Linked DNA regions of Cricetulus griseus. The protein of the gene in region 3 purifies or fractionates together with the protein of the main gene of each other region. This does not show direct contact. Links are inferred from orthologs where the notes say so. Each region holds a gene or a part of one and is shown on either strand. Other genes may lie near its edges. The genes, in order: Pxn, Tns3, Csk and Tns2.

Evidence for each region.
Region 1: the proteins of Csk (region 3) and Pxn purify together in Homo sapiens (affinity purification with mass spectrometry; 4 studies listed by BioGRID and IntAct, with this or other methods). This does not show direct contact. The link is inferred for Cricetulus griseus from reciprocal best matches to the Homo sapiens genes CSK and PXN.
Region 2: the proteins of Csk (region 3) and Tns3 purify together in Homo sapiens (affinity purification with mass spectrometry; 4 studies listed by BioGRID and IntAct, with this or other methods). This does not show direct contact. The link is inferred for Cricetulus griseus from reciprocal best matches to the Homo sapiens genes CSK and TNS3.
Region 4: the proteins of Csk (region 3) and Tns2 purify together in Homo sapiens (affinity purification with mass spectrometry; 6 studies listed by BioGRID and IntAct, with this or other methods). This does not show direct contact. The link is inferred for Cricetulus griseus from reciprocal best matches to the Homo sapiens genes CSK and TNS2.

Annotation. Positions count from the first base shown.
Region 1 is NC_048597.1:95,635,573-95,643,895, reverse strand, and holds the start of Pxn (paxillin), read right to left. Parts: upstream 4,120-8,323; 5' UTR 4,105-4,119; coding exon 4,065-4,104; intron 3,961-4,064; coding exon 3,734-3,960; intron 3,483-3,733; coding exon 3,373-3,482; intron 3,038-3,372; coding exon 2,901-3,037; intron 2,813-2,900; coding exon 2,611-2,812; intron 1,632-2,610; coding exon 1,496-1,631; intron 1-1,495. UniProt on the Homo sapiens protein: Cytoskeletal protein involved in actin-membrane attachment at sites of cell adhesion to the extracellular matrix (focal adhesion). Recruits other proteins such as TRIM15 to focal adhesion.
Region 2 is NW_023276807.1:96,519,203-96,526,813, reverse strand, and holds part of Tns3 (tensin-3), read right to left. Parts: intron 2,562-7,611; coding exon 1,323-2,561; intron 1-1,322. UniProt on the Homo sapiens protein: May act as a protein phosphatase and/or a lipid phosphatase. Involved in the dissociation of the integrin-tensin-actin complex. EGF activates TNS4 and down-regulates TNS3 which results in capping the tail of ITGB1.
Region 3 is NC_048597.1:169,253,167-169,259,430, forward strand, and holds the end of Csk (tyrosine-protein kinase CSK), read right to left. Parts: coding exon 6,227-6,264; intron 5,452-6,226; coding exon 5,358-5,451; intron 5,200-5,357; coding exon 5,134-5,199; intron 5,057-5,133; coding exon 4,957-5,056; intron 4,847-4,956; coding exon 4,756-4,846; intron 4,559-4,755; coding exon 4,485-4,558; intron 4,385-4,484; coding exon 4,189-4,384; intron 4,110-4,188; coding exon 4,023-4,109; intron 3,832-4,022; coding exon 3,649-3,831; 3' UTR 2,982-3,648; downstream 1-2,981. UniProt on the Homo sapiens protein: Non-receptor tyrosine-protein kinase that plays an important role in the regulation of cell growth, differentiation, migration and immune response.
Region 4 is NC_048595.1:398,502,905-398,510,515, reverse strand, and holds part of Tns2 (tensin-2), read right to left. Parts: exon of another isoform or gene 7,054-7,611; coding exon of another isoform or gene 7,048-7,053; intron 6,964-7,047; exon of another isoform or gene 6,249-6,963; coding exon of another isoform or gene 6,177-6,248; intron 4,867-6,176; exon of another isoform or gene 4,861-4,866; coding exon 4,752-4,860; intron 4,368-4,751; coding exon 4,330-4,367; intron 3,508-4,329; coding exon of another isoform or gene 3,485-3,507; coding exon 3,446-3,484; intron 3,130-3,445; coding exon 3,091-3,129; intron 2,956-3,090; coding exon 2,906-2,955; intron 2,684-2,905; coding exon 2,512-2,683; intron 2,160-2,511; coding exon 2,109-2,159; intron 1,788-2,108; coding exon 1,665-1,787; intron 1,580-1,664; coding exon 1,515-1,579; intron 740-1,514; coding exon 656-739; intron 304-655; coding exon 191-303; intron 104-190; coding exon 43-103; intron 1-42. UniProt on the Homo sapiens protein: Tyrosine-protein phosphatase which regulates cell motility, proliferation and muscle-response to insulin. Phosphatase activity is mediated by binding to phosphatidylinositol-3,4,5-triphosphate (PtdIns(3,4,5)P3) via the SH2 domain.

The DNA.
Region 1 (8,323 bases), about 74 Mb from region 3:
GAAGGTAGAAGGACCTGACTATTTCCTTCCCTATTGAGGACCATGGGGGTGTGGCCTCCATGGGAGAATTTAGTGGGAGGAGGAGGATGAAGAAGGGTGATGGGTAGGAATGGAGTAGAGCTGGGCAGCAGCCCCTGGGAGCTCAGCACCACAGCAGAAGAGCTAGTCTGGAGGAGAAAGACAAAGGGAAAGGGAGAGAGAGACATGGAGAGAGGTGAGGCAACAGGCAGGCATGGCCTGAGAGTTGAGAGAGCCACCATCCGCAATGCATAGACATAAGAGTCTTTGGGAAGAGTCTAACCCCAGAAATGCTTGCCTGAGCCTCACATCCTTGCACTCTAGGAGACCCAGGGAACAGAAAACATCCACAAAGCCATGCTTACAAAGTCACCCACAGTAAGCACCAAGGGGACTTGCAATAAGCTGTATGATGGGAAGAGAGCTCCAGAGCTGGTTCTAGGTGCAAACAAGGGGAAGCTGGCACAGGCACCAGCTCTGTGCTCCGCCCACCCCAGCTTTCCTATATCCTCAAGTCCTTTCTCTAGGGCTCCAAGACACAGTGTAGCTTTTCCTCGTGTGGCACTGGACTACAGGTCTAAGAAAGCAACTGCAGCCTTAAGGGACAGGTACCAGCACCATCAGTGCCTGGATCCTGACTGGCTGCTTATCACCACAGCAACAAGGTGATTGCTATTACCAGCCCCAATTCCACCCAATCTCCCACCTCCGTGTGAGCTCCAAGTATGAGTCCAGCTGAAGGGAGGCAGGAGGCACCTTCTAGGCCAAGAATGGACAGACAGCCTGGCTCCCTTCTCATATTCCCCAAGCTGTGCCTCAAAGGTCTCTGGCTGACCCACATGGAGCTGAAGTCAGCAACTATGAGAAATTTCAGTCAGTATTAATCCCTATTGAGGCACCACATCTTCTAAAGAAAACGTTGTGGACAGGCAGGCCTGGAGAGCCTGGGAGGGGAAGGTGGGACGCCTCATGCCGACTGGCCAGGTGCTTGGCAGGTTAAGTTTCCCACAGACAGGACTCTGGGAACTCAGGCCCTTAAAGAAGAAAGTGAGGGTAGAAGGAAGCTGGCTGGAAATGCTGGAAAACCCCATCCCCACAGCAGAAAGAAAGCGGGTGCTCTGAGGACAGATAGCGTGGGAGATACAGCTCTGGGACAAGTGACCTCTCAGGCATGAGGTCCTGGTCCCACGGGGCCCAGCAGGACATACCCTCCCCCACCAAGAGCAGCTATCAACACAGGGCTCATTGTCACTGTGTTCCAGCTCCTGGTCCCCTTGACCTGGTGGCTGGGATCACCAGGAGAGGGAGGAATGTTCCAGCTAAAGGCATCTCTGGTTTCTCTGCCTTCACAAGCTGCTAAGGAGCTCAGTCTTGAATATTACCTAGCCTCTCTCCTCCAGGGCCCCGAGGAGCTGCTAGTCATACTGAGGAAGGGTAATGGATGGGAGCAGGGAAGACAGAGAGAATCAGAGGGCACCTTAAAATCCGACAGTGAAGCCATGAGCTCGTCCAGCTCCCTGGTAGCAGAGGAGGCCGAGATGCGTGTCTGCTGCTGGCTGGAGGTGACTCGCTGTGGGCTGCTCATCTCACCTTGGTTCACAGTGATAGCCGGGCTGTGGGGCAGGCATGGAGTCAGTAAGGAGCCCAAGGGTCAGCCCCAGGCTCCACGGGGGGGGCTCCAGATCAACGACACCTCCAACTCCAGGGAAGGCCACCAGAACCCAGCAGCACCTTAGGGATCCCCATCCCTGGGAAAGAGTGACTAGCTAAGAAACAGTGCTGAGGTGAGGTGACCAGAGAAGGTAGGTGGTTCACAGTACCCCTACAGGAAGACAGGGGCACCACTACAAAGCCTCTCAACACTATACACATGCGAGATTATTACACATCAATAAACACTGACACATGGTGGCTCATCCCTGTAACCCAGCACTTGGGAAGCTGAGGCAGGAGGGCTACTACATAGTGAGTTTCAGAAGAGTCTGGGATATAGAGTGAAACCCTACCTCAAAATAAACAAGACCTGACGCTATTAGGGGCTTCCCTAATAGCTGTGATTGCCACAGCTACGAGCCAGCCCCCACCCCCCCCAACATTATATACTATTATATACTATTTGGTCTCACTCTATTTACTATGTAGGGTCATCTCCATTATTACTGTCTGCTTTACCTATTTTATAGTTTATGTCGTATTTTTGCGCTATGGTCTCATGCAGTTCAGACTGTCTTGGAACTCACTTATATAGCCCAGATTGGTCTTGCACCTGAGATCTCCAAACCTCGACCTCCCAAATGCTGGGATTATAACCATGTGTCACCATGCCCTACTTTGGCTTATTCCAACTTATAGAGCGAGAGTAAGACTGTTGTAGCTGGCACAGCCATGATCTAAACCCTGTGCCACATCAGCAAACCTGTGCTAACCCTGGCTTTGCCGGGTCATGCCATATCCCCAGGACCTGGCAAGTAGCAGACACTGTAGGGAGCAGGTGACTTCAGGGCTGATGGACAGGTACCACACAGCCCGAAGACAGTCGGGGTGAGACTTCAAGAGCTTCCCCAGCCTGGGGAGACCCTAATGGATACTCACACAGGGCTAGGCACAGAACTCTCCAGTTCATCCAAGAGGCTCTCCACGCTGGGCCGCACATCCTCCAGGCCCCGGCCTCCATTTCGCTTTGGCTTCTCTTTCATCAGGGGCCCAGTTTTTCCTCCCAGGGTACTGTTACTCTCTGGGACACCATAAAGGGGGCTCAAGGCTCCAGGTAGTGGGGGGCTTGAGTTGGCTTCATCTTGGAGATAAGGAAACAAAATGGTTGCTCATCCCTGAGTCCTCTAGGAACCCAAAGGCCCATGAGTAGTCCAGAGACCCGCTCACACCTGCAGGGAAGCCTGAAGGGTTGTGCTGCACAGCGTTCAGTTCTAGTAACAGACGGTCAAGCTCCGAGAGGTTGTTGCCCAGGGAGGAGCTCATCATGGTAGGTGAAGGCTCTGCGGACTTGTGTTTGTTGGGGAAGCTTTGAGAAGGAGAGGAAACAAGTAAGACTCTTCTGCCCTGCACTGGATGTGGCAGGCCCCAGATTCTCAAGGCCGGAGGGGTGGAATGTTACCAAGTCTCTTCAGCAAGAAGGCGGAGGGTAGGGAAGGAATGTGGTAAGGCAAGGAGGAAGGAAATTTTGCTTCAGTTTCTCAACTACAGAGATGCTGTCTCTACAGAGAAGGCAGTGACAGGGCAGAGGGGAGCCAGCTGACAAGCACAGGGCCTGGCAGGGGCCTTCAGGCCTTCTATAGTTCCACCAGTGGCCCTAGGGTTTCCCAGAAGCCGGGCTGATGTACAGTGCTGGTTCTGTACCTGTAGACGTGTTCTTCCTCGCCTGCTCGGGAACAGAGAGCGCTGTCCTGAGGGTTAGAGGCACCGGAAGTCTTAGCACTGGAGCTGTACACAGGTGACGGGGATGGAGGCTGCAGAAGAAAGAGTACTTTACTCAGGCCACCCCCAGGCAGCTCCTGCTCATAGCTTGTCTCACCAGGGAATTTCCACAGCTAGTCAGGTGATTAATACTTGGTCACTGGCCCCTCACATGGTGGGTGAGAAGGGCAGTGTATGACTAGGAGCCCAGAATCCCAGTCCATCCCCAATGGCTTTCCATCTCCTCGGCAGATCAGCTCCTTTTACCACTCAGCCCCCAAGGGCTCCGCAGACCCCACCTTACCTGCTGGTGAGTGTATCGGGAACCACTAGGCTGCCACTGGTCTAAGGGGTCAAGGATCGTGCCATTGAGGGCCTCGCTGGATGGGGGTGGTGGAACAGGGGGTGGCACTGCAGTCTCCTGATAGGTATGGTTTCCAGTTGGGTAGGAGTAAGGGGGCTCCTCTGACAAGAACACTGGCCGTTTGGAGATGTGGGAGGTGGTTGATTCCAAGTCTGCCAGCAGGGCGTCTGCAAAGAGAAGACGTCCACTGGTGAGAGTTGGCCCTATTGGGCACTTCCCAGGGGCAGTGTCCTGCCTTCCTGAACTTGAAGAGATCCTGTCTGGCAGACACCTGCTGCTTCGATGGGAGAAGAGACCTGGAGTTTCCACATCGGCTGCCCGTCCTCTCCTCCCTCAGGGGTTAGATGCCTGGCTCTGCATTCCTCCTGACAAGGCTAGGCTGCTGCTGCCTGGTGTAAGCAAGAAATGCCTGCTTAGAACTCTGATTCCTGAGGGCAACTGGGAGAGCTGGGTGGGAGGAGTCCTACGTCATGTCACAGCACAGGGAGGGGCTGGGTAGATAGAGCCAGGTCCTCTCTGGACTTCTAAGAGCCTCAGCCCAAGTCTAAAGACAGGGGGTGGCCTTAGGGAGCACCTGTGCTCCAGGTAGGAGCGGAATTCCATGCTCTAAGCTCCTCCTGAGGCCCCAGGCTGTGGGTAAGGTATGCAGAGAGGTAGGGGGCTGGCATGAAGCCAGCTCGGCAGCAGCCACCCCCTCAACAAGCTGGGAGTAAGACTGCTCTGCCAAAGCCTGGCAAGCAGCCCAGCCCTAGAAACTCCAGGGCCCCATGACTCCGCTTTTAATGGGGGGTGGGTCAGATCTCCAACACAAGCTGCCATTACCCTGGCATGCAGTAGCCGACAAGAGGCTCAGGTTCTCGACAGGAAGGGACAGCTAGAGGGACAGGAGTTGGAGGTACTGACCTTCCTGCCATAGCCTCCCATCTTGGGACCTTCCACAGTGCCACGGCCTGGGTACAGTCCAGCCCCGCTCACCACACCCTCCCTCCTTCCTGCACTGCTCACTGACCTGCTCACTCTCAGCATCTAGTGACCTGCTTCCTGGGCCCTCGTGAGTGGCAATCGAGGGGCAGTGGCTGCACTGCACTGATCACCATCTACTAGGAACCACTAAAGGCATCTACACGCGTGGTCACAAACAAGTGCCCCTTCTGGTGACCTAAAAGGCCAAACTGTTGTCTTTGGAGCTGAGGAAAGTAGGCTTGGAGGCTAGCAGTACCTGCCCTGAGTGATAAAGCAGGAAAGGGCAGGATCACAAGACTCCTCAGACTCCTTAAGTCCCAGACACCAAGCCTGCAGGAGGGACTGCTGTGATTTCAAAGAGACAAGATACCAAATCTAAGGAACTCAACTTCCTACACACCAGGGGCTCGAGCTCTGATCCTTGCTGGCGGCCCTGTCTGTAGCTCCATTCCCATGCAGAGAAAAGGGAAGCAAGGGCCTTTGAGGTCATGCCCTCTCCTAGCAGCCCTGACTACCTGTCACTAGGGTGGGTGCACCTACCCCTGGCTCCTGCTGTATGGCTGGACGAGAAGTTGTTCGAAGGCCGGGACCCTGGGTCCCAGTCTCTTGCTGCTGAAGAAATTCTGCTCCTGCAGCCCCTCCCCGTCCAGGTCCCCCGGAGGAGCTCTGACTTCCTGCCTCCAACAAACCGGAACTACAGGGAGTCTCTATGAGTCTAGGTAAGGGCATAAAAGGAACTAATGTCCAAAGCCAATCCCAAAGAGTCTCTAGGGCCACACCTGCTGTCCATTTCCTCTGGGCCCAGCCCAAAGTAGGCGGAACTCCTCTTCCTCCATCACAGACTGAGCCTGCAGGGCCAGCTCCACAGAGCAGGCCACAAATACAGCCCTGATGGGGCTGGCAAGAGCAGTCCTGTACACCTATCAGGGCCAAGAGCTTCACCTGTGGAACTTGCCATCCCCCAACCCAACAACACTGCCATAGAGGGCTGGGCTGAGGTCCCCCTTGCCAAAGATGGCTAAGGGATAACACAGTTCCCTCCAGTTCCAAACACTCCAAGGAAGACAATGGCCTTCCCTGCTAGCCGGTAAATCAGGAGTTCCACTGCCCGCTCAACAAGTCCCCATGCCCTGCACCCATGGTGCGATGCTGTGTCTGGCTTTATTGGTTTATGGGCCAGATTCTGGTTTGACTTCTTTTTTTTTTTTTTTCTATTCTATTTTTATGGTACTAGAGCTAGAACCTGGTGCCTTGCAGCATGGTAACGTCCACCTCTGAACGGAGACAGGGTCCTGTTATGTAAGCCAGGTGGCCCCAAACTCTCAATTCTCCGACCTCCATCACCACTCCCAGCGGCACGAGCCTTTCTCATTTATTTGTTTTCTTTCTTTTCTTTTGTGTGTGCGTGTGTATGTGTGCTCAGCAGTTCGAGCCTGTGTGGAGGTTGGAAATCTATGCCAGGTATGTCCTTTTTTGGGGGGAGGGGTCGAGACAGGGTTTTTCTGTGGCTTTGGAGGCTGTCCTGGAACTAGCTTTTGTAGATCAGGCTGGTCTCGAACTCACAGAGATCCGCCTGCCATTGCCTCCCAAGTACTGGGATTAAATGTGTGTGCCACAATCACCCAGCTACCAGGTATATTCTTTTATCACATGCCACTTTGGTTTTTGGAGTTTTCTGTTTGTTTTTTGAGACAGGGTTTCTCTGTGTAGCCTTGGCTATCCTGGTACTAACCTCTGTAGACCAGGCTGGCCTCAAACTCACAGAGATCCACCCACCTCTGCCTCCTGAGTGCTGGGATTAAAGGCGTGCGCCACCACCACCTGGCCCAGAATACAACTTTGTAGAGTTGGTTCTCTCCTTCCACTTTTGCATGGGTTCTAGGTATTAAATTCAAGTCACCAAGCTTACAGTACCTTTACCCACTGAGCCATCTCACCAGCCCATCCTTTTTTGTTATTGTTTTTGTTTTTAGAGATATGGTCTATGTAACCCTGGCTGTCCTAGAGCTCTCTATGTAAAACAGGCTGGCCTCAAAAAATAACATTGTTTGTTTTGCGATAGGGTTTTACTAAACTAGCTAGTCACTGAGTCCCTGGGATCCACCCATTTCTACCCCCACAGCACCGAGGTTCTAAACACACATTGCTACACGAGGCTTTTATATGGGAGCTGAAGATCTAAACTCAGGTCCTCATGTTTACACATCAAGTCATCACCCCAGATTGCTTGCTTCCTTCCTTCCTTCCTTCCTTTCAATTTATGGAGAGGTTTGGGGCCAGCAAGATGACTTAGCATGTTTGCTACTACACTTGATGGCTTGAATCCAACAGACCCTGGGACCCACACGGTAGAAGCAAAGAACAAGTCCTGCAAGCTGTCCTCTGGCCACCACCACCACTACACACACACACACACACACACACACACACACACACACACACCATATAAAATATAATTTAAAAGAAAGAGAGGGCTGGAGAGATAGCAAAGGCGTTGTAAGAGCATAAGCCCCTGGTTTGGTGTCCAGCACCCACATCAGGCAGCTTACAGCTGCTCTAGGGGTCTCCAAAGCCTCTGGCCTCTGCAGGCACCTGCACTGGTGTACACAAACACATACAGACACAACCTCAAACACGGTCAAAAAGAAATTTTTACAAATCAAGAAAAGAGAATCATTTAGGGTTTACAGAAGAGCTCTAGGTGATATGGATAGTGGGGCCTAGCTCAGCGCTAGACTTCTCTTCAAGATCCAGTCTAACCACTCAGGTGTTTGTGTTGGAGAGAACTCTCTTTTTTTTTTTTTAATTTGGGACTGGAGAGATAGATACTTCCACAGTAAGAACCCTGGCTGCTCTTGCAGAGGACCTAGGTTCGGTTCTCAGTACCCACAAGGTAGCTCACAACCACCTGTTAACTCTAGTAACGGGAGATCCAACACCCTCTCTCAGACCTCTGCGGGCACTGCATGCATTCAGTGCACCTGCACACATGCAGGCAAAACACCCGTGCACATAAAATAACTTTTAGATTCACATCCATTTATTATTTATTTCTATGCACATGAGTATGAAAGTCAGAAGACACATTACGGAAGCCAACCTCTCCTTCCGCTTTGCGATACGGCCTACATTGCATGGGAATTTCGGTGCTAGACTGCAGCCACACACCCCTTTACACGGCTGCTAGGGATGAACTCAAGATGTCGGGTTTGCCTGGCCAACGCTGTGACCCACTGAGCCATCCCTCATTGTGAATAGTTCTTACTCTGCAGTTTATAAAGGCATGTGAAATGCATTAGCAGTGACATCAGACTATTTACTTTGTGACATCCAGAAAAAGACCTTGCTCTTTTCTGGATAAAACATGAAGTCAGCCTGGACGAGAGTCACGGAACAAGAAAGAAGTATTTAGCCAGGTGGGGTGGGGTACACCTTTAATCCCAACATCCAAGAGGCAGAAGCAGGTGGATCTGTCTGGTTTGAGGCCAGCCCGGGCTACAGAATGAAGTCCAGGACAGCCAGGACTATACAGAGAAACTTTGTCTCCAAAACAAAAACAAAAAAAGA
Region 2 (7,611 bases), on a different chromosome or scaffold from region 3:
CTAAAAGCCTTCTTGCATTATCTTTCTCGTCCTCCAGGTCATGGTTCCTAGTAACACCCATGGATCCATCTTACCTGCCACTTCCTGCATCCACTACATCACCCACACATAGATACCTCACCTTGGTCAGTCTCCTCCAAGGATAACATTGTGCAGATTCCAGACCAAGCCTTGTTCCTTCCATCATCTCCCAGACCCCTTCTCAGGATGTGCTGCCCAAGATCTGAAAGTGCTGACATCTCAGGATGTCATACACTTTAGCTTGCTTTCTCATCTAAAGACTAAATGACTCAACCAGCTCTCAAACCCTCTTGACCCATGTTAACACTGGGAGCATCTGATAGGAACCGGATCCTAAAGCAGGCCTCATCACACTGACGCAGAAACATTCCCAGAGACTTGGTCAGAAGTCACTGTCCACTCCCACTAACCTTGGCCTTCCAAAGAAGGTCTTGTCATGGTGTCTAGTTCTCCTGGTTCTAAGGTAGAAAGGCCCAGAGTTTTCTCTTCTGGCAACTGGCCAACTCTCATCTGCTTCAGAGGGTATAGCAAATACACGTACCTAGGCCCATGGTCCATAGTCTTGGCTCTAGATCATGTTCTCAGGACCTAGGAACCTGGATCTGCCCTATCTGAGCTTCTCTGGGCCCACTCCACACTCTTCGCTTTCTGTTCTATGTCTCCCTCAGCATTCTTGAGCCAAACTTCTCTCTAACACAGGTTGGCTACTGCCACCCATAAACACCCTCCAATGGTGTCTCAAAACTCAGACAATACATTTGTAAATAGGACAGTTTGCACATCCTGACTGCTTAATCAGACCTTTTTTCCTCCAAGGAGGACTTGAGAGCCCATCAATTGTAACTGAGAGGCCTAGCCCTCCTCCGAAAAGAACATTCTTGAAAGGAGAAAAGCTGTATTGCTAAACTTACTCTCCAGATGTGGGAACCGAGGCTGGGAGAATTTGTGCACAGGTTCTGAATCACATTGCTACCAGGTGGCAGAGGAGCATGGATCAAGCTACCTGGTGTTCTCAAATGGCCTGCTGCACTCCGAAACAGATGTGACCAGTGTGTGAATAAGACAGGGATATTCGTCTTTAACAGGCCTAATCTCTGTCCCAAACCATCTTTATACACAAGTTTTGCATTTCTTTCTTCCCACCATTCAAATTGCTACCAAGCTCCCATAGTGCCCAAGGAACCATTTGGATTCTAGGTCACAGCTTAGTAGAGTAGAAACTGCAAAGGAAATGAATTTCAGAAAACCCAAATTCTTAGCTAGACAATCTCTTACCTGACCCCAACATCTTATCAACTCACCTTGCTGGCCAGGGCTCCGGCCAGGGCCTTCCACAGGGTCCAGCCTGCCACCACACCGGAGCCCATTTCCCACACCATCAGGACATACAGAGCCATTGGCAGAGATGCCTAAGGCATTCATATGTGTGGGGATGGGCTCAAAGGTGGGGTCTAGCTCCAAGATCAGCCTGTTAAGTTGCTCAATGGACTGGTCAATATCCAGAGTAGGAGAGCCTGGGGAATGACTAGTGTTCAGATCCTGATGGCCTCCATTCATGACTCTGTCCTCTGCAAATCTGGGCTGGAGTGTTTTACCAGAACAGAGTGGCTGTGTGTCAGGGGGATTTGGTCCATTGCTGATGCCTCTCTGCACAGCCACCCTGCTGCTGGCTCCACGTGTGGGAGTAACTGGGATATGGGGCTGGGGCTGGTCCACTGTGCTGTGGCTGCCCAGCCTGGCCTCCCCATCTGAGGCAAAGCTGTACTGGTGAGCAGCCACCATCTGCTGCTGACGCACCCAGGTCTGGGTGGAATAGTTGCTTTGCCCATAGGCCTGCGGTGGGGTGGGTGTAGAGGGCTTCCTCAGCAGGGGCTGCAGCTGCTTTGGCTCTCGGCCCCCACACATCCGCTCCCGCTCATAAAGAGAGTCTACACCAAGGCCTAGGTCTGGAGAAAGAACACCATGGTGATCTTCACTAACACCATTGCCAAAGCCATCAGACAGGAGGGAGTTCTGGCTGCTCTTGAGGCAGGTGAAGGGGCCCAGGTGGGCTGACTGTGGCCCTTCAGAGGAGGAGAGAGTACCCAGGCTGTCCACACTGTGCAGATCATGGTGAGGCATTTCATCATCTAGAATGTCAGTCTCCCGGTCCTTTAGGGCAGTATCTCCATTCACATGAACCTGGGCTGGCACCACGTGGCGCGTCCCACTATACTTGTTTCGCACATCAGTCATGTCTTTGTGGGAGCTCGACGAGTCTTCCAGGCCGAATCCACTGAGTAGCTGGTCCAACTCAGCTTTCTCCTGAGGGCTCAGGCCCCTCTGTGCTCCTGGGATTGGACGCTCTTCTGTCTTATCAGTCCTGGCCGAGGCAGTAGAGTGACCCGAGTCACTGCTGACTGACAGGGTGTGGTCACCGTGGTCTGGACTGCTGGTGGCTGGCATGCCCTGAGGGCTGCCAGGGATGCCAGAATCTGAGGCACTCTTTTTCCTCACCTTGGCATACAGGCTTCCATCCACTGGGCCCTGTGTGTGTAGCACTGTAGGGAAAACAAGAGACAGGTCATAAGCCAGGGAGCAAAGGGAATACCAGGAACCACAGTGGGCACAATGCTATGTCCACAGAGGAGTGAATCTACAATGCAACTCAACAGAAAACAGGTGCAGACTCAACTGGGGTCCTAAAACTCCATATATCCTCTGAAGAGTGAGCATCAGTAAAAAGGAGTCACGTATCAAACATATTTGCCTAGAACCATTACTGCCTTTTTGGTTTTGTTTGTCGTGCTGAGGATGGAACCCAGGGTCTCTTGAATGCTACTAAGTGCTTTATCACTGAGCTATACCCCAGCTTCATGCTTACCTACCCATGTGGGACACCACACACATATACTCACACAGGCACTTGCACATATATACACAAACACATGCACACATCGATAGAGAATCTTGGGGATTCTTCATTCTTTGAATCATTAATCTCATTATTTTGAATGTGGAGCCCAGCTCAGCTCATGAATCCCCAAGAATCAACTGCTCCTCTGTACTTACATCTCATACAGCTAACATTTTTGAGCATGCAGGTGCCAACTGTCATTAAATCCCCTATGTCACCGATAAACCTGCCATCCTATCAACACTCTGGGATGTGCTAAAATCTAATATGCTGCTCAATGGAAAGGGGGAGTATAGGGATGGCTCAGGACCTGTTCTTACTGCACAAGATCCTTGGGCAACATAGGCATCTAATAACCGTCAGAATCTTGGATCTTTGGACCTAACTTGCATGCACTATACATGGAATGCCATGAAACAATGTGGACAGGAAGAGCTGCTGCTGTTATTAATTAGGGCCCTGGCAGCTGGCTGTACGTGGAGATTCACGAGCCACAATCTGCTGACTGGCAGCTGTAATTGCCTTGGTCACACAGGGTGTATTATAGCAAGAGGTTCCTAAAATAAGCTGGAGCTCACACACATCTCCCCTGTAAGCCTCCCCCATTTTCCTGGACTCTCTGCACTGTGGAATCATAGGCATTGCACAGGAAGGGAGTTGCTGATGGCTGGAAACCTAAGCTGTTTAGGCACCCAGGATTCATGGCTTGAGCCACCCTCCACCTTTCTGGTGGCTACTGAGCCTATTCATGCAGTAGTTCAGGAGAGACTAGCCCTGGGCATGTGTCTCATGGTCCCTGGGCACAGCTGGACACTTGATCATACTCAGCAGCTGCTGCCTTTTTGGAAATACTGGGGTGGCTGACATGGTGGGAATGGGACTGAATGGTATGGGGTGCTGTGCCACACGCTCACACAGCCCTGAAAACACAGCTCTGAGAACATGCCTAGCCTGGGCTCCTTTCTCAATTTAACTGCAGTATAGGGCAAGCATGCAGAGACGATGGGACACGGATGGGGAACACTGATTGTGTAGTCTAGCCTGGAAAAGCCCAACCACATCTTAAAGCAGAACTTGGGGGAGAGAGGCCCTGGGGGTGGGAATCACACACAAACTGTAAATAGAGCAAGTGTGCAGAGAGATGGCAGGTGGTGACACGCACGTATGCTGGACGGGGTGTGGAGTCATGGGACCTTCATATCGTTATTGCTTGTTTAGTAAGATCAGAGGCTCTAGGAGAGTAAATAAGATTAAGCAGCTGTCAGGAGTAGAAGGTGCCCAGAATCCAGGCTCCAGGGCCCGGGTGCACCTGCAGCTTGACACCACCTACCTACCTGTATACAGAAGGCTGGGAGTGCACAAACTTGAGGTTCAATTGGTGACCCTAACTGGGAAGAGTTACACAGCAAATGACACTGAGCCAGGTTTCAGACACAAAGAGACTAAAAGCACATGCTACACCCAGCTCTGAAAATCAGACAAAAATGCCTGGAAAGATGATCCTGTGTCATCTTTACAAAGAATCACGTGCAGAATCACTGAGGTTTTATAAAAGAATGGCCCCTGGAAACAATGTAACCATGTGCAGAATCACTAGGGATATATATATATATATCCCTGCAAACATCAAGCCCATGGCTCGTTCCCAAGCTCTCCCAATCAGGGAGTTTACCTTGATCTTCAAATCCCCATGAGAAAAGGTGGAAGTGATTCTGTGTGGAGGCTGACCTGAGAACTAATGGCAGCACACCCAGAGCATCATTATAGGCTCATGGAAGCATCACTCCATCTGGTATCAGGGTGTTCTGCTGCAGGAAACTCAACTGCAGAAGACCCAGTGCACTTCCTTCTGTTCTGATCTGCACAGTGTGAGAAAGGCGCTGATGAGAAGTTTCTGCTCCTTAAGAATTATAGAGACAACTCCACTCCTACACACACACACACACACACACACACACACACACACACACACACACACACACACACACGAGTGCGCGTGCGGCAAAATGCCAGATGGCTGCTACTCCAGTCCCTGCACAAGGCATGCAACCAGAGCACAGATTACAGATCACTGGAACACACAGCTAAGGGCAGAAGTCTGCTCATTTCAAGGGCAGAGTGCATGCTGCTCAGACAGTTCACTTACAGCTTCCATAAGGTATGAAGTATGAGTTCTCCATAAACCTCAATTAAATGGTACCAAGGCTTAAAAAGAAAAGGGAATGCAAGAATGAACTGTAAGAATATTCTTCTAATTTTCTAGTTTAAACTGGAATTCAGCCACACACAAAAAAAAGTGCCTTCAAAAACTTCTAGAGCCGATCCTCTAGTTGTCCCTATGCAAAGAACAGTTCACCAAGAAGGACCCAGAAAGTGGTAAGAGTGGGCTATTTCTCTCTCTGGCAGCCAGGAATCATCCTTTGTTACTTTTATTAATAGCAGCTTTTTACAATTTGAGTTTTGAACAATTTTTGACTATATGTATATGGGAGTGGGGGTATTTGCATGAGTACTGTAGTTACAAAGGTCAGCAGAGGACATCAGATCCTATGGAGCTGGAGGAGTTACAGGAGGTAGCGAGCCACCACTGATGTGCTAGGAACCAAACTCCAAAGCACTGCAATAGTGGTATGTGATCTTAACCACTGAGCTACATCCCCAGGCCCAAATAAGAGAAATCCTGACAGTGATGCAGGAAAACAGCATGATATCTACCCTGCCTATAAGCCTGATCCAGCCTGGCCCAGCCCAGTTCTGAGCCCCTAAGAGGGTCTGATAAATCCTTACAGCTCAGACAGTATATGGCTATGTTCCCACAGGCAATCCCAGTGGCTGGAAAGAAAGGGGCCATCCAATCCCAACAAGATCCAGAGACATGCTGGACTCTCACGAGCTTCTTGTTGCATGCATAGCTAGCTCTCAAATCACAACATGCCCAAGAAACCTACACCAAGCTCCCAAGCTGGGCATTTCTTGCTAGAGGATGTAGAGGGCAAGGGAGCCCAGGAAGGCAGAGGAAGCTGCCCAAGGGCTATAGCTCCTCAACTGGACCAGCCAGCAGGAACCACAGGCAGGAGAGCAAACAGCTCTTGTCCTCACTGTGCCCACCCTATTTTCTGGTGAAGTGCCACTTGTCACTCTTTACTCTGGACATACTAGCTTCTCTTTCATCCTGGAGGACTTGCCATTGCTCTGTGAAATTTCTGGTCCTGACATTCCAGTTGTCCTGGGCTCCTCACTGATAAAATGAAATAATCATTCCCAGCTTTCAGTGAAGTCACCAGAACTAAAAGCATGTACTGAAAGCGCTCGGCCCACTGAGCCTAAAGAAGGGCACCCATTAGCAATATTGAAAAGTTATTTCTACAGTGAAGAAGTCCTAACAGCTCCCTCAGATTCATCTCCTTACTGCTCATTCCACTGCTCTCAGATTGCTGGGAGCGAACCTGCCTCAGGGCCTTTGCACTCACTGCCCCCAGAGCTCCCCATTCCTCATCCCTGCTGGGTTTTTGCTTATACAGAGTAAGCATCAATGTTTTCCACCTGTTCTGAGCTGCTCAGCCCTGAGGCAGGGATTTCCTCTGCTTTGCTTCCTCTAGTACTCTGGTGCAAAAGAACAGCCCTGGTGCCCAGTAGTTCATTAACAATGGAGAGACTAACTCTCCCCAGCTTATCATCACATGACAAAACCTGGGCCACACAAACAGCCAATAAAGATCTAAAAGCAGATGTGCCCAGCAGCCCTGGGCCACCTGTAGTCAGTTATCCCATACTCTTCCAGACAGCATACCATATCTGACTGTCCATGTAAGGCATGGGCAGGGTGGGCAGTCACTCCTTGCTCTCTTGGCAGGCTTTCACAGGACAAAGAGCAGAAGTAGGAAAGTCCCTGGAGAGAACCATCCTCAGGACTCCAAAAAGTTAAAGAAAATCCAAATCCCTAAATGTTAGTTCAATATGCCCACAGAGTAAAAGGTAGTCATGGAAGGTATGAGAGGTGTGCGGCCATTCTCTAGCCAGTGTGCTATGAATCAGGCCCATACAGAGGAAGACAGCATGTGGACCGGCAGAAGCAGAATAAAGGGTGCCAAGCCATTTCCTGTCTCATGTGCTCTTGCCACCTCTGAGGCGAATACTCCAGCTCTGCACAGCAGGGCTGGGGATCAGTCCCTCTTCTATGTATATCTGTGTCTAGTGTTCCTAAACTATATGGCCAGCAAAGGGCATCTCATCTCAATGCTGGTGTGTTTAAGATAATACAAAAGTTGCTAAGAATGACACAAAGAGTATCCTAGTAGAAATGAAACTTCAGTATGAGCACCGGCTAGTTGCAATCTTGCCAACCAACCCAAAGAAGAACCTAGACTTCACTGTTGCAGGCCCCTAGGGGACTGGGCTAAACACTGTATCTTATGATGTAGCTCTGGTTTGGAAAAGTGGTGCCAAAAAGAAACTTATTTTCTTCATCCAGACCAAAGAAGCAATGCTGCCAAACACACCCCTATCTGGGTTCTGGGGGCTTGGTGGGAACTGAGTTCTACATTCTCAAGGGACAGAAAAGGTGAGTCTGACCCTGGTTCACCCTGCCCCACCCTGCTGCAGGGTTCCCAAGCTCCCTTCTCCTATGGAATACAGTGTGATGTCTAAGCTGCTAGCTAGTATTTGAGGATGGGAGTGTAAGATGTAAGATTCTG
Region 3 (6,264 bases):
TTCTAGCACCTGGGAAACGGAGGTAGGAGACTCAATAATGTAAGTTCATCCTCAGCAACATAATTAGAGGCCAGTCTGGGCTACCTGAGGCCCAGTATAAAAAAGGAAAAACTGGGCTGGTAGGTTACAAGCTCAATCCTACCACTATTAGATCACTTGCCTAGCATTTTGAGGCCCTAGACTCAGTCTCTAGGACTTTATCCAGATAAAAACAAAACAAAATAAAAACCTTCAAAAGTCTAATAAAAATATAAATGGGGAGGGAAAGGAAATGAAGAGAAGGGAGCTAGAGGCAGGGGGCAAGAAAAGGGAGAGAAACTGAAGGACAAACAGGCCTGGGACCCTGAGACTGGGGGTTCAGCTACCTGTGCCTGCTTTGACTCAGGGTCCTGGGAGCTGGGCCTGCTCCTCCACAAGGCTCTACTGCAGGCTTCTAAACAGGAGATGGCTGGGCATAGCAGGCGGTGTTCTGAAATCAGCCACAGTATTTATGATTTAGATATCAGTAAACATTTACAGTCAGCTCCCACCCACTCTGCTTGTTTTGTTTTTTCCCAAGACAGGGTCTCACTTTACAACCATGGCTGGTCTAGAACTCTTTATGTAGCCAAGGTGGTTTTGAACTCCTAATCCCCCTGCCCCCTCACCCCCAAAAGTGCTGGGGTTACAGCTGTGTATATCTGGTTTCAATCTGGTCATTACACATTCACCAGGACTTCGGTGTGTGTCTTCCTCCTCTGCAGTTTCAGAGAGACCAACTCCAAGGAAAGCTCCACTCCCACCCCAACTCCTACTATGCCTTCTCAGTAGCTTGTCTTTCCCTCAGAACTTAGATGCTACCCAATGTTCTTCCCTCAGACAACCAAACTTGCTGAAGCCTCTGAACTCCCACTCCCTCTGCCCCCATCCCCTCTCCTTCCAGTCAGATACATTTTCCTGGTATGGGCCTGGCCAAACACAGAAGTTACTAGGGCAGTTTCCTTGGACCTGGGGGCAAAAACAGTGTCCATCTCCATGCCCTCTGGGAGGCAGGTCCCAGTGGCTTCCACCTGTAGAAGACCTCTGCCTGGACCTCAGTAACATTCCCTCCCTGCTCCCTCCTAATCTCAATGCCTTGCAGAAGCAATTTTTAATTTTTTAAAAGATGGTGTCTCAACAAGTAGCCCAGGTTGGCCTCTATCTAACTCATAATCTTCCTGCCTCAAGAGTGCTGGGTTTGTAGGCATGTGAACAACTTCTTGACCTGTTCTTGAGTGCTGGGTTTGCAGGTGTGTGAACTTCTTCCTGACCTGTTCTTAGAGCCCCCCTCGGCTTCATCTTTGCCCTTTCCTACCATATGGACCTCATCCTTTAGGTTCAATCCATTCACGACAGCTCTCAGTTTCCTTCTCCAGCCTATGCTTTATCAATCCCCCACCTCTTGGCAGTTTCAAAAGCACTCAACTCAGAATGCTTGAGCTCAGTAGAACCTGTGATGGTCTCTTCTGGTCCTCTCTGTTGGTAGCTGCCTAGCTCACACACACACCCATCAGGGAGAGTCAGAGGCGTCTGGCTTCTCCCTTTCCTTCCCTGTGGAGCATGCTGACCCCATTGCTAAGTTTTACTGATACATCGACTACCTCTTATCATCTTTACTCTATTCTCACACTTCCCCACTGGGACCTGGGGTGATTACTTTAGAATGGCATTACTTGACATGTCTCTGATGCCCCAAACATGTCACTGAATTACAGTAACTCTTGCCTTGGTAAGAAACACATGTAGGCCACAACCTTCCCTACCTAGCCCCATCTCTTATCTCCTGGTGCTGTCCACTGGTTATTGTCACCCACCTTCTCAGAGCTCCTGGACAAGCCTCCCTTACTAGGGTCTCCTCTCCCTGGGGTGCTACTAGCCCCACCTATGTTTGCACCCATCCTGAACTCAGCATGGATGCCACTTCTTGATCTATGATACTCTCCTGTTGGGTGTTCCTTTACAACAGAAGAGCCTGTCATTATCTGTGTGTAACTAACTGTCCTCTCAACCATGAACTCCACAGGGTCCACTCTGCTACCTGCCAGAAGCATCCAGCAGTCTACCCTCAGCAGGTATTTGGACATTTGCAGTTGAATGACTAATCTGTCTGCTTTTCACAAAAATCAGCCTGAAGGGTGTGCAAAGGGCAGCTTAGTGGGGAAAGTTGTTGCATTGGGAGGGACTGGAACACAGTGGGCCTGGGGAGGTACACAGAAGACATGCTTCAAGCCAAAACTCGTTGGTCTAAGGTCCTGCAGGCTGGAGGAGGAGGGCCAGGACCATGATGGGATAAGGGGAACCTCCCTACTTATCTCTACTGAATCAAGTCTCTCCTACCCACCAGGGTTCTACCGCCCTTGCACAACTTGGGGGGAAGAAAAGCCCAAGCTGGTTCTCATTCTCCATTTGTCTACCCCAGTTGGGGCATAAGGAAGGTGCCTGAATCCATGCAAAGCCCAGGAAAGCCAGGGCTTGGCACACAGTAGGGTGAGGAAAAGCAAAGCTGTCACATGTTAGATGAAATGTGAGAATCCCCAGCAGCTCCCCTTCCGTCACCCTTGAGGTCAGTATCTTCTGAGGCTCTTTATCTGGGCTCTTGCCCCAGGGCCACATCCCCATCTGGGCAGGCCTGGACTTCCAATTCTTTGTGCTTCCGGCCTGGACAGCATGGCAGGAGAAGCAGCCAGAATTCCCAGGCAGCATCCCATGGACTGGTCTCAGAGCCCAAGGCTGCCCAGGTGCTGGGCTCAGGTGGTAGCTGATAGGAATGGACAGGCGGTGAGCACTCCCCCATGGGCAGACACAGGACACTGGCTCGTGCAGCTGACACAAAGAGGCGGCTACATCTTCTAGCCATGCTTCCCTCTCAGCCCCACTCACAGAGACAGGGGGGATGGACAAGATGGCATGGGAAGACGACTGTGCAGACAGGAAGGCTCGGCGGAGAAAGCGCCGAGGCTGGGTGGCGGTGTCCTCATGGGAGTGGTTTATTACGATTCCAACTCACAAGGCGGTGGGTGAGCGGCCACAGCACAGACGCCTGCCTCGGGCACATGCAAACAGTGCAACATGGTCAAGCGCAAACAGAGGCGACCGAGGCAACACTGGACATGGAACACGGGATGGGGAACAGGCTGGGGTGATCGGTCCCTAGAGAGAGGCTGATTCCTCCCCGACCCCCAGGGGCAGGACAGGAAAAATAAGATTCGTACTTCTTGTAAAATGCCCATTTGCTGGGTACTTTCTTTCTCCTTATGTTGAAAAATAATAAAAAATAAACACACGGAAAAAAATCTCAAAAAAGGAAAGGAATAAAACTCTAAGAAGGCGAGTGATGGGAGGCCAAGAGAAGGCTGACCACAGTGGGGGCACTGCCTCCCGCTCCTTGTCCTCCTCCCTCCTTAGCCCCTTCAGTGAGTGCCCCAAGCCCTATAGGTGGGTGGGTCCATAAGAGATGCCAGGCCTAGGTGGGGTCCCTGGGGGGCCAGAAGGGACAGGCAGGTCAGAGGCAGGAGGCCTACCAGCCCACTGGGGCTCAGTTCAAGTTCAGGCCCAGTGGGCAGCAGGCACCAGATCTGTGATCTTCTAGGCCTTGTCCTTACAGGCCCAGGGCCTAGGCGGAGGCAGAGGTCACAGGTGCAGCTCATGGGTTCTGATGTGCTCCAGCTGCTCTCGAAGCTGCAGGAAGGTGGGCCGTGTGGCAGCATCCAGGTGCCAGCAGTTCTTCATAACCTCGTAGACTGCGGGCGGGCAGCCGTCCGGGGCATCCATCTTATAGCCCTTTTCCACCCGAGGGACGACGTCCTTCAGGGGCTGTGAGCAGGTGGCATGAGTTTGGTGCCTTACAAGAGAAGGGAGCCCTACCCACATTCCCTCTCTAGGAAGGGCCTTCAGCCCTGCCTCAGGCCGGACAGACCCGAGGTACGAGGCAGTTACCAATGGATGCTACTCTTGCCACCCGCCATCACTTTCAGCAACGCACTGGCTCCCAGACCCATACTCACAATTCTTGGGTAAGGCACTCGCCCAAAGGAATAGATTTCCCAGAGAAGGATTCCGAAACTCCACACATCAGACTTGGTGGAAAATTTCTGCCATGTGCATAAGATAATCAGCCTTGATTTTAGGAAGCTCAGGAGAGGGGATAATGACTCTAGGACCCTTGCTCACCTTCTCTCTCAAGGCTTCCGGAGCTGTCCACTTGACGGGCAGTTTGCCTGTGTCCTGAGTGCTGGAGGCTTCCTTGGTGAGGCCAAAGTCACTGACTTTGGCCACGTTGTCCTCGGACACCAGCACATTCCGGGCAGCCAAGTCCCGATGTACAAAATTGTTGCCTTCCAGGTATTCCATGGCCTCACAGACGTCTCTGAGGACAGGACAGCCACATGCCCCTCAGACTGGGGCTCCCATAGCAGGGCAGGGGTCTCCTTCAAGTTCTTAGTCCCACCCCAGGCTGCATCACTCACAGTGAGAATTTGAGGAGACAGTCTCCGCCTAGCACCGAACGACCACGTGATCGAAGATAGTCCACCAAACTCCCCTGGGGGGGCAGGGCAGAAAGGGACGTGAGGAAAGGGAACAGGGGACATCCAGAACACTTAGGAAACAGTGGCTTGGAGAGGGCACGACTTGTCCCTCAGTAAGTAAGTGACTGGCCAGGATTGGCAACTTCAAAGCTCAGTGGGGACAAAGTGGAGGGGCTGGGAGGAGGGAGAGGTGAGGCTGAGGAGAACCCACCTTGGCCATGTACTCTGTGACAATGTAGAGCCCACCCTTCTCCTCCACAATCACACCCAGTAGCTGGACCAGGTTGCTGTGCCGAAGTTGCCTGGACAAGGCGGGACAGAGTAGTCAGCCAGAGTTCAGAGTTCAGTCAGCCAGCCTCCCCCGTTCCACCCAGGCCCCAGGCAACCTGCCCTTATGCTTGTCTCAACTTACGTCATGACAGAGGCTTCAGCCAGGAAGGCCTGGGCAGTGGCATCATTCTTAATGCATTTAACTGCAACTTTGTTGCCCCGATAATCACCCAGCATCACGTCTGGAGGAAGAAGGGAGGGATGCGGTTTCCTGGACACCCGAAGCTTCTCAGACCCTCCCGGGGCTCCCTCAACTTACCTCCAAACTCCCCCTTCCCAATCGTCTGTAGCAGCTTCAGTTCCTTCATGTTCAGGGCCCAGCCACCTGTGGGGTGGGGGCAGAAAAGCAGTGTGTCAGTGAGGTGAACAGAGAGTTGAGGCCGTTTGAGATGGCAGGCACAGGCCAAACTGCTTTAGATGTGGGATGTCTGATGTCTCCAAACCACCAGGGTAGGCCAGTGGAAATGTAGTTAGTGTACTTACTGCGGTAGAATTCATCTTGGGCGGCCACTGTGCCCTCCATGACCTTTGGTTTGATGAGGCGAGTGCAGAGTCCATCGGCATCTGTGGTGTAGTGCTGCAGAGAGAGGGGGAGGGCAGGCCCTCAGAACCAGACCCGCTGGCCCCATTTTTCATAGACTCACGGGCTGCTCAGGTCTGACCACCAGGGGGCAGCAGAGGCCAGTTCACGAAGCCTCCAGCTGCTTTGTGTGAAAGGTTCCTCATTTCAAAAGGGTGGGAATGCCTGTCCATTTCCTGTGTCACCCCACCCACATCAGCTACTGGACTCCCAATTGTCACTACTGCTGTGGGCCTGACCAGCATCTTAAGGTAAACAGCAAAGCCTGGCCTGCTCCCTGCACCAGCCTCCAGCCAGGTGTCCTCGGCCAATGTAAACCAGAGACAGGATGAGAGTGAGCTTGGAGGGAACCTACAGTTTTCTGTTGCCAAGTATGGCCTGGTCAGAGCTGACAGAGCTGGTGTCGGAAGCTGCAAGGACCTGTGGGTGTGCAAAGGCCTGAAGGACCCTGGTGGCCAGGGCACACACACGAGGAGGTTCGAGTGGAAGAGGAATTGAGTTCTGGATCAGATAGCCTCAAAGTCTAGTGGCACCTCCAACGTACAGAGAGAGGAGAGACTTTCACTGATCAGAACTTTGTGTCCTTATCTATAAAACGGGCCCTTGTTGGGGTACTATGGGCCCTGGCACATAGCAGGTGCTCCACTGGGGTGTGCTGTCAACGTGTCCAGGTTACTCTGCCAGGTGACTTGGTGCTGGGTTTGTGTGAAATGTCCTCAGGTGGACTCAGGTGTGTCTGAGTGTGGGCAGAAGGGGGAGCACCCCTACTCACCTCCACCAGCTGCATGAGGTTCTCGAAGTACACCTCCT
Region 4 (7,611 bases), on a different chromosome or scaffold from region 3:
CTGGCACAGGCAGGTGTCAGGGCCTGGGAACAGAGCACTCACTAGACTCCAGATGTGTAGACCAGCTGCATAGATTGGTAGATCTTGAGGAAGGGTTGGAAGCCTGGAGGGTGAAGGACATGAGGGGGGTGGGTGAAGGGAGGTGGAAAATGGCTGCTGCCCCCATGGAATACATCTCAGGTGGACTCACCTGTGTTGGGCTCAAAGGCTGGCAGCATGGGCACAAACACATAGTGCAGGAACAGCGGGCTGCTGTTCATCCTGATGGAGCCAGACAGCAGCCCGCTGAAATAGCTGACATAGCTGGCAGGAGAGTGCCAAGGAAAACATCAGCAACTCAACAGTGCAGACCTTCCACCCAACCTTGAGAGACCCAGACTGTCCTTCCAAACTTCAAGGAGGCAAGTTCCCCTCGCCCCATGAAGCCTTTCTTACAGGCCTCTGCTTTACTCTCTTCACAAACCTTGCCATCACCTAGAGTGAGCCAGTCCATTTGTTTATGTGTGGCTTCTTGCCTTCCACTCCACTAGCAAGTGAATGCCATGAGAGCCTGACCCTGTTTGTTCTCGGTTCCCAGAACTTGGCATGGTGCATTGTGGGTTTCAAGTTTGCTGCCTGAGCAGGAGAATCAGCCCTTCCCCACTGGGCTGCTCACCGGCGTTGGGAGGGCTGCAGTTCCGTGGCCACCTTGTCCTCACAAAATTTTCTCATGGTGAGAGTTGCCAGCGCCTGGTCTGCCCTGGGGAGAGCAGGGCGGGTGGGGTGCTTAGGAATCAGTCTCATTCTGGCCTTCTACACCTAAGCCCCAGGGAAGGAGGAACCATGGGATTCCCCTCAGTGTAGAGGGGACCCCCAATGGTGAAGAGAGCTAGCAGCCCTACAGTACAGTGTCCCAGTTGTTGGGCCTCAGGCAATTGCCCCCTGAATTTGACTTTTCTCACCTGTAAAGTGGGGCAGTTAGATAATCTGATGAGTTGAATTATGTCCCTCCCCCACAGAAATGTACCTCAAATGTGACCTTATTTAGAAATAGGGTCTCTGCAGATGTGATTAGATAGGTTAAGATGAGATCATGCAGGAGCAAGGTGGGCCCTGAATTCAGGGTGACTGGTCCTCAGAAGAGGAGAAACAGAAACAGACGCAAAGAGAACACCACGTGATGATGTAGGCAGGGGTTGGAGTGATGCTGCTGCAAGCCAAGACCACCACCAGAAGCTGGAAAGAGGCAAGGAAGGAGTCTGCCTAGAGTCACAGAGAAGAGTTAGGCCCCACTGACACCTTCACTTTGGATTTTTAACATCTTAGAACTGTGAGACAATTGAGTTATCTTAAGCCAGTTTATGGCATTTTGCTGACAGCCCTAGGAAACTAGCCCAGCTCATCTGTTGGGGAGTCCTGGGCGCCTAAGTGGAGACAGGCAGTATCACACCAAGTTTATAGTGTAGGACTCTGACTAAAGAGGGAAACTCAGACAGGGCCAGGTGAGGAAGGGCCACTGGGACAGGGCAACTCACCCTGCAGAGATCTTGCTGTAATGCATATAGGCAGAGACGATTACTCCAAGCTTGCCCTTGCTCCCCTGAGAGATAAAGAGATAGGGTTGTTGGGCCTACTCTTCTAGGATGAGGATGCCTCAGCTCTGTGACCCCAAGGTCCCAGCCTACCTTGCAGTACAACACGACCACATGCTGAGGGTCAGCACTGAGCCATGTCTCCATGGCTTTGCAGATGGAACACAATTTGTCCAGAGGTGGGGCATGCAGCTCAGGCCAGCCAAAGTCCTGCACCTGGGGAAATACAAGGGTAGAATTGTGTGCGTGCGTGTGTGCGTGCGTGCATCCGTGCGTGCGTATGCAGGAACAAGGAGGTGAGAGGGTATGAACATCAAACAGGGGCCCTGGTGCAAAGTGGGGCTTGCTAGTGGTCCCACAGTAGCCTGGACACTTTACAGCCATACTGCACCATGTTTTCATATATCTTAAATGGTGTGTCATATGAGAGGTGCTTAAGAGTAAAATGGATGTCAGCTGCTACTAATAACAAGGAGGCAGGGCCTTCTCATAGGGTTGGTTCAGCTTAAAGGCCAGACAGACCATTTTGCCTCCTACCTTAGGGTTCAGGCGGGTCAGGTCATGTCGTTTCTCTGAAAGGTTGAAGAGCTGAAATAAAGGGAAGAGTTAGATGAAGGCAACTTCAGACAGAGGAGCTGGAGGTGGACCCTCAATCTTACTCTAAAATAAGATTGCAATCATCTGGAACTGAATTCTCTGCGAGCTGCTGCGCGCCCCACTGAGCTCAGGCCCGGCCTGGCCCGCCCGGCCCGCCCCGCCCCGCCTCGCCCGCCCGGCCCGCCCCGCCCCGCCTCGCCCGCCCGGCCCGCCCCGCCCCGCCTCGCCTTTGTACACTAATACCCGCCTCCTGCCAGTTCCATTTCTGATGACAAACAGTAGCCTTGCTCATTTGGACCTCCCAGCCCTCTCATTGGTTGAATTTGGCCAACCCGCTCCTCACCAGGTACTTGTCCCGGTGCTTGGATTGCAGCACATGGGCCAGTTCGCGCAGGTGGCCCCGGTGTCGCTGCTCGTCCGGCCGTGCGGGGAAAGCTGCAGCCAAGATCCTCTCGGTCACATAGGTGAGGTCCAAGTCCCAGCGACGCTCCATGAGCGGATCCAGGCTGAAGCTCCTGGAGAGGTCGCAAAGCTGATTTAGGGAACAGAGGCGAGGCGCCCCACGGGGCTAGTATTATGAGAAAGGTCCTGGGGAGCGCTGGGAGGCCTGCTAGGTCCCGAGGGTGCGTGGTCCTGAGGGGGAGCATTGTCCTGGGGTGTTCTATTGGGGACCAATGCCATGAGCTGTGTGGGGGTCCTGTGCAAAGTGCCCACGTGGGATCACCGGGCGCTCTCACCTGGGTAGAGTGCTGCGTTGCTTTGAGTGGTTCAGGGACTTGGTGGATCCCTGGTGGATGAGAAACCGTACATCGACATCGTCTTTGGACGCATCTCTTCTAGACTTCCCAGTTCAAAGTTCCACAAACCGTGGTCTCCCAAAAGCTACCCACCCCCCACCCCCAGACCCCTAAGCATCCCTTACCAGGTGTTCTATGCGCCGTACTGGGGCAGTGTTTCTCCGCTAGAGGGAGGAGGTGGGGGAGGAAATGGGAGTGGTTAGGGCAGGGGCAATGACCAGTCTGGACCTGGAGGGTGGGGGTGGGAGGGCATGTCCGTGTCTATCTACTCCCTGGGGGAAAAGAGGGAACTCCAGTCTCCCCCCCCCCCGCCCCTCCCGCACCCCAGGCTCTAGAGGACAGTAACAGCGGAGAGCTAGAACAGTCAGTAACTACAACGCTCAGTTTTAGGTAACCTCCTGGCGCCCCCACTCTGAGACCACCAGACCTCTGGACACTAGTCAGGTTACTATCTTCCCTGCCCCATCCTAGAGCACTCACCAGCTCCGCGGGGGGCAAGGCCTGACAGGATGAAGTCACCTGGAAGGAGATGAGTGACTGAGCTGGTGAAAGATAACGTGGAGGGGCTGTCAACTGATGAGTACAGGCTCCAGCTGAGGTTCCTCTATTCCTCTATTTAAGGGAAGCCTTGCTTCTGGCCTCCTGGTCCCCCACCTCTCAGGCCCCCTGCTTGTTGCTTTTGGCTCTCAGCCCCCTGCCCAAACAGACCCCCATTCATCCAGCTGCAGGACAGGAGTTATATATAGGGGCGGGCAGGCAGGCAATGGCCAGGGGTGGACACTAGCCTCTTTCACCGTTGAGACCCCACCCATGGGCACATAGCTCCCCCAAGCTAGCTTGAGGCCCTGGGACTACCCCCTGCACTGAAGGAGGAACCAGGAGCATTCCTCAGGGATGGGGCTGTTTCAGGTTCTCAGTAGACAGTGGGTGCCACCTACACCATGTACCTGTAGAGGTCCAGCCCTTCCAGCACCCAGGTTAAGACCAACTTGGGCATCCTGAGGACCCTTCCCCAGAGGGAAGGTACAGCCTATTCCAGTGCCTGGTCTCTGAAACCCTGCTCCCTCTCTGTCCACCCCACCCTTCCTCCTCCTGCTTCTCCACCCCCCCATCCTCTCGCCAGCTGCAGCCTGGGCACAGCACCAAGACAAACGCTGCCGACTCACTGTCCACCCTCCTGGGCCAACCCTCCAGGGGTGGAGTAGAGTAGTTCTTAAAGGGCCCGGCACAACACCCCTGCCACCCAGGAGGGGTCTCCAGGAATGGCAGGGGACTGGGTGGAAGAAACATGCCAGTATGGCTGAAAAAGCGTGTCTGGGCAGTGAAAAGACTCCATCCCCCATCAGCTAGGACCAGGTACCCACCTTTGCTTCGCATTTTCTGTGTGTGGCCACCTTGCAGACTAGAGAAGGAGGGGAGAACAGCAGAGGCTTAGAGGGCAGTGAAAGTGGGCACCCTCCACTTCCCCAGGCCCTGAAAGTCAACCCTGGGACTTAACACTAGATTGCTGGAGCAGTGAGCAGGGCAGGGTACCAGCAGGTTCTGCTCCAGAGTCTGGGATTCAGGCCAGAGGTCTAGGATGAATGGAGGCAAGGAGGAAGGGCAGCCTCTAGTCACAGGTGAGGATGGGAAGGTGGCAGAGTCACAGATCTACTGGGCTGTGGCAAGGTGGGTGTCATGCAAGTGAGGGCATTTGTCCCTGCTCTGTAAGCCTGCCTGTTCCTAGAGCCACCCAGCACAGTGGTGTTGAGTGGAGGGCTCTGGATACGCAGGAAGAGCACCTCACCTCGGCAGGAGACACCGGTCCCATCGATGGTCACTTTACACACTGCACACACCGGAGCTTTCTTCCGGAAAACCTTCTCCCGGAAGCTGTGTGGTTCTGCTTTCCTAGGCTGCGGGTGGGATGACAGATAGATAGAGGTATGAGTTCCTAGTGGACCCATCTCTGAGGCTGAATTGGAAACCTTGCCTTGGATAGACGCTGCTGCTTCCCTCCCTTCTAGTTCAAAGCCTCTGAACTCCCAGGCACACTTGGCCACAGCTGTCTCGGGGTAGTCATGGGGCCTGTCCTCTACAGGACTTGGAATGTGACCCCTTGCATCACCTTGGCTGGGTCAACTCCTCCCTAAGGGATCACTTAGGTCCCCTCACGTGGCCCTGCTATGTGATGTCCTTGTCACTGCCACTTCAAATGTGAGGGGTTTCCAAATCTTGGCAGAGTGGGGGTCTGACTCTTTCCATCTTGCCCTCCCCAGATGAGGTTTGTATACATGAGCTGATGGCCCAGACACACATGCACATTGTCACATAACACCCAGACTGGCTGTAGCCAGTCCTGAGCCCCTGGCTCTCAATGTCTCCAAGCTCCAGGCAGCTGACATGCCCCCCTCCCTCAGGGTCAGAACAACGTGTTTACTCTTTGTGCATTGAGGCTGCAAGCAGCAGTTGTATAAGAAGGGGGTGGCAATGTTGGAAGGAGGAATGACAGCGGGGACAGACAAGCAGCTGCCTTGCTGCCTCTGTGTGTCCCCTCCCTATCCAGCGACAGTGAAGCTAGCAGCTGGGGTGCTTCCAGTTGCCCAGGTCCTACTTCAGTCCCTCCCATTGCAGGCCGTGCCTCCCACCCCAAGTCTGTGGACAGTCCCTCCACACTCTTCATCTGTATACCAGCTCCTGCTGTCCCCTCTCCCTGGATCTGCCCACCACAGTGTTAACACCTTCGAAAGGCAAGGGGGAGGAACAGCTTTGGTCCCTTGAGTGTTCCAGACCTCTTCTGGACTGGAGGTGGGACCCACTAGGATACTTGGACATACTTGTTGATAACATCATGTGCAGATGACGTCAGTGGAAGGCATCCTCCCAGTCACAGTGCCTGGAGACCTGGCCTCCTCCCTACCTTTCATAGCTTTTTTCCCATCCCTTTTCTCTCAAGCTTCCCTGGGAGGTCAGGGCTTAAGCTCTTTGCTGAACTCCCAGGGCTTATTCAGGCTCAAGCAAGGAAAGGCAGAGAAGTCCAAACAGATGGCAGGATCATACTGCCACCCTGGCCACCTCAGGGGGGCAGGGGAATGAGGGGAATACTGAGGCAAGGTAAGGAGCAGGAGAAGAGGCTGAAATTAGCAAGAGGGTCTGGCCTGAATCCTGGCCCTCCCCCCTTGTCCACACCTCCACCCTGCCCCACCTTTGCCCAGCTGGTGGGCACTCCTACCCTGCTGGTGGCCCGGCTGCTGTCCCTCCCCAGGGCTCTGAGCAACCTTTCCATAGGGCCGCTGGACTTCATGGTGTCTGGCTGGCTGGGTCTTGGCTGCAGGGCCTGAACAATGCTGGGGCCTGGCCTGGGGCTTCCTGGAAGCAGCCTGGCCGAGGCAGCCGCTTCCCTTGGGTGGAGGGGAGGCTGTCTGGCTGGTGTGTGGAGAAGCCTGGCCCTGGAAGTGAAGGGAAGTGCAGGCGGGAAGGGGGCAGGTCGCTGCTCCAGGAAGTGGGGTGGGGGAGGATGTGGGGGAGGCCAGGAGATCAGATTCCCAGGATCTACCCCTGCTGGGAGTGTCAGCCCAAGATCTTTGGCTCTCCCCTTCTCCTCTGGAGCTGCCTCTCACCCGGTGGGCCACCCTGTGTAGGGGTCTGTGGTCTTGAGATCCAGCCCTGGAATCAGTCAGTGGGGCAGGGTGGGAATTCAGGTCTCAGGGCTGGGCTTGAGGGCCAGAGAAGAACACTGTGTCCCCAGCCAGTCTCTAGCCTGGACTCTTAAGTTCCCTTGGGACTTCCTGTGGGAAGGGAGTGGAGCTGGGAACCAGTACCCCTGGCAGGCTAGGACTCAGACTACTTAGGGTGAAAGAAGTAGGAATGAGGGCCAGCTTCCTTGTCAGATGGGGAAGATCATGCAGTACCCTCCTCAAGGCCAAGCACCAGCCAGAAGCCCAGCTGCCCACAGTAGTGAGTGGTCCAGAGCAACCCAGGGCCCTGGAAAGGTTCCACCTGAAGACCCCAGCTACTGTGCTCCAGATAAAACCCACAGTTCCTGGCTTAGTCCCCCTGTATCTGGGACCCCACCCACCCACCCATTCAAACCTGAGCACTACCTTCATGGCTCTTCTGGGCCTGGCTCTTCTTCATCTGTGGCTGTCACTGGACCTGAGGACTGGACAGGAGGCCCCCTCCCAACACATTCTCCACCCCCTCTAGGGCCTCCTGCTTCCCTCCTGGGAATAGGGCCAACTTCCTGTCCCAGGAGTCAAGGAAGGAGGTGGATAGGGCCTTGGAAACGATAGAACAATCTTCCTAAAACAAGGGTCAATGGCCTGGGGGTTCTCGGCTCAAGCCCTGGACAGCAGCCTTTGGAATGCTGTAGCTGTCACTTGAAAGAATGTACAATCTTGTCGTCCTCATTTGCATGGTATTTACTGAATGTCCCAGTGCAACTCCTCCGGTTCTGGCTACATTCACAGGGTTCCACAGGAGTTCCCTCCTCTGCCTCCTGTTCATCCAGGTGAAGGGCTGCTCTACTCCTCCCTGGTTCACCTTAGAAAGACCATCAGACTGGGAAGCCTGAGCCTTCTTCCTGCATGCTCCAATTCTCTAGGAAGCCTGTCACCTGTGTACCCTGGCTAGAGGGTGGCACCTGAGTGGCAAGGTGTGGCCCCCCA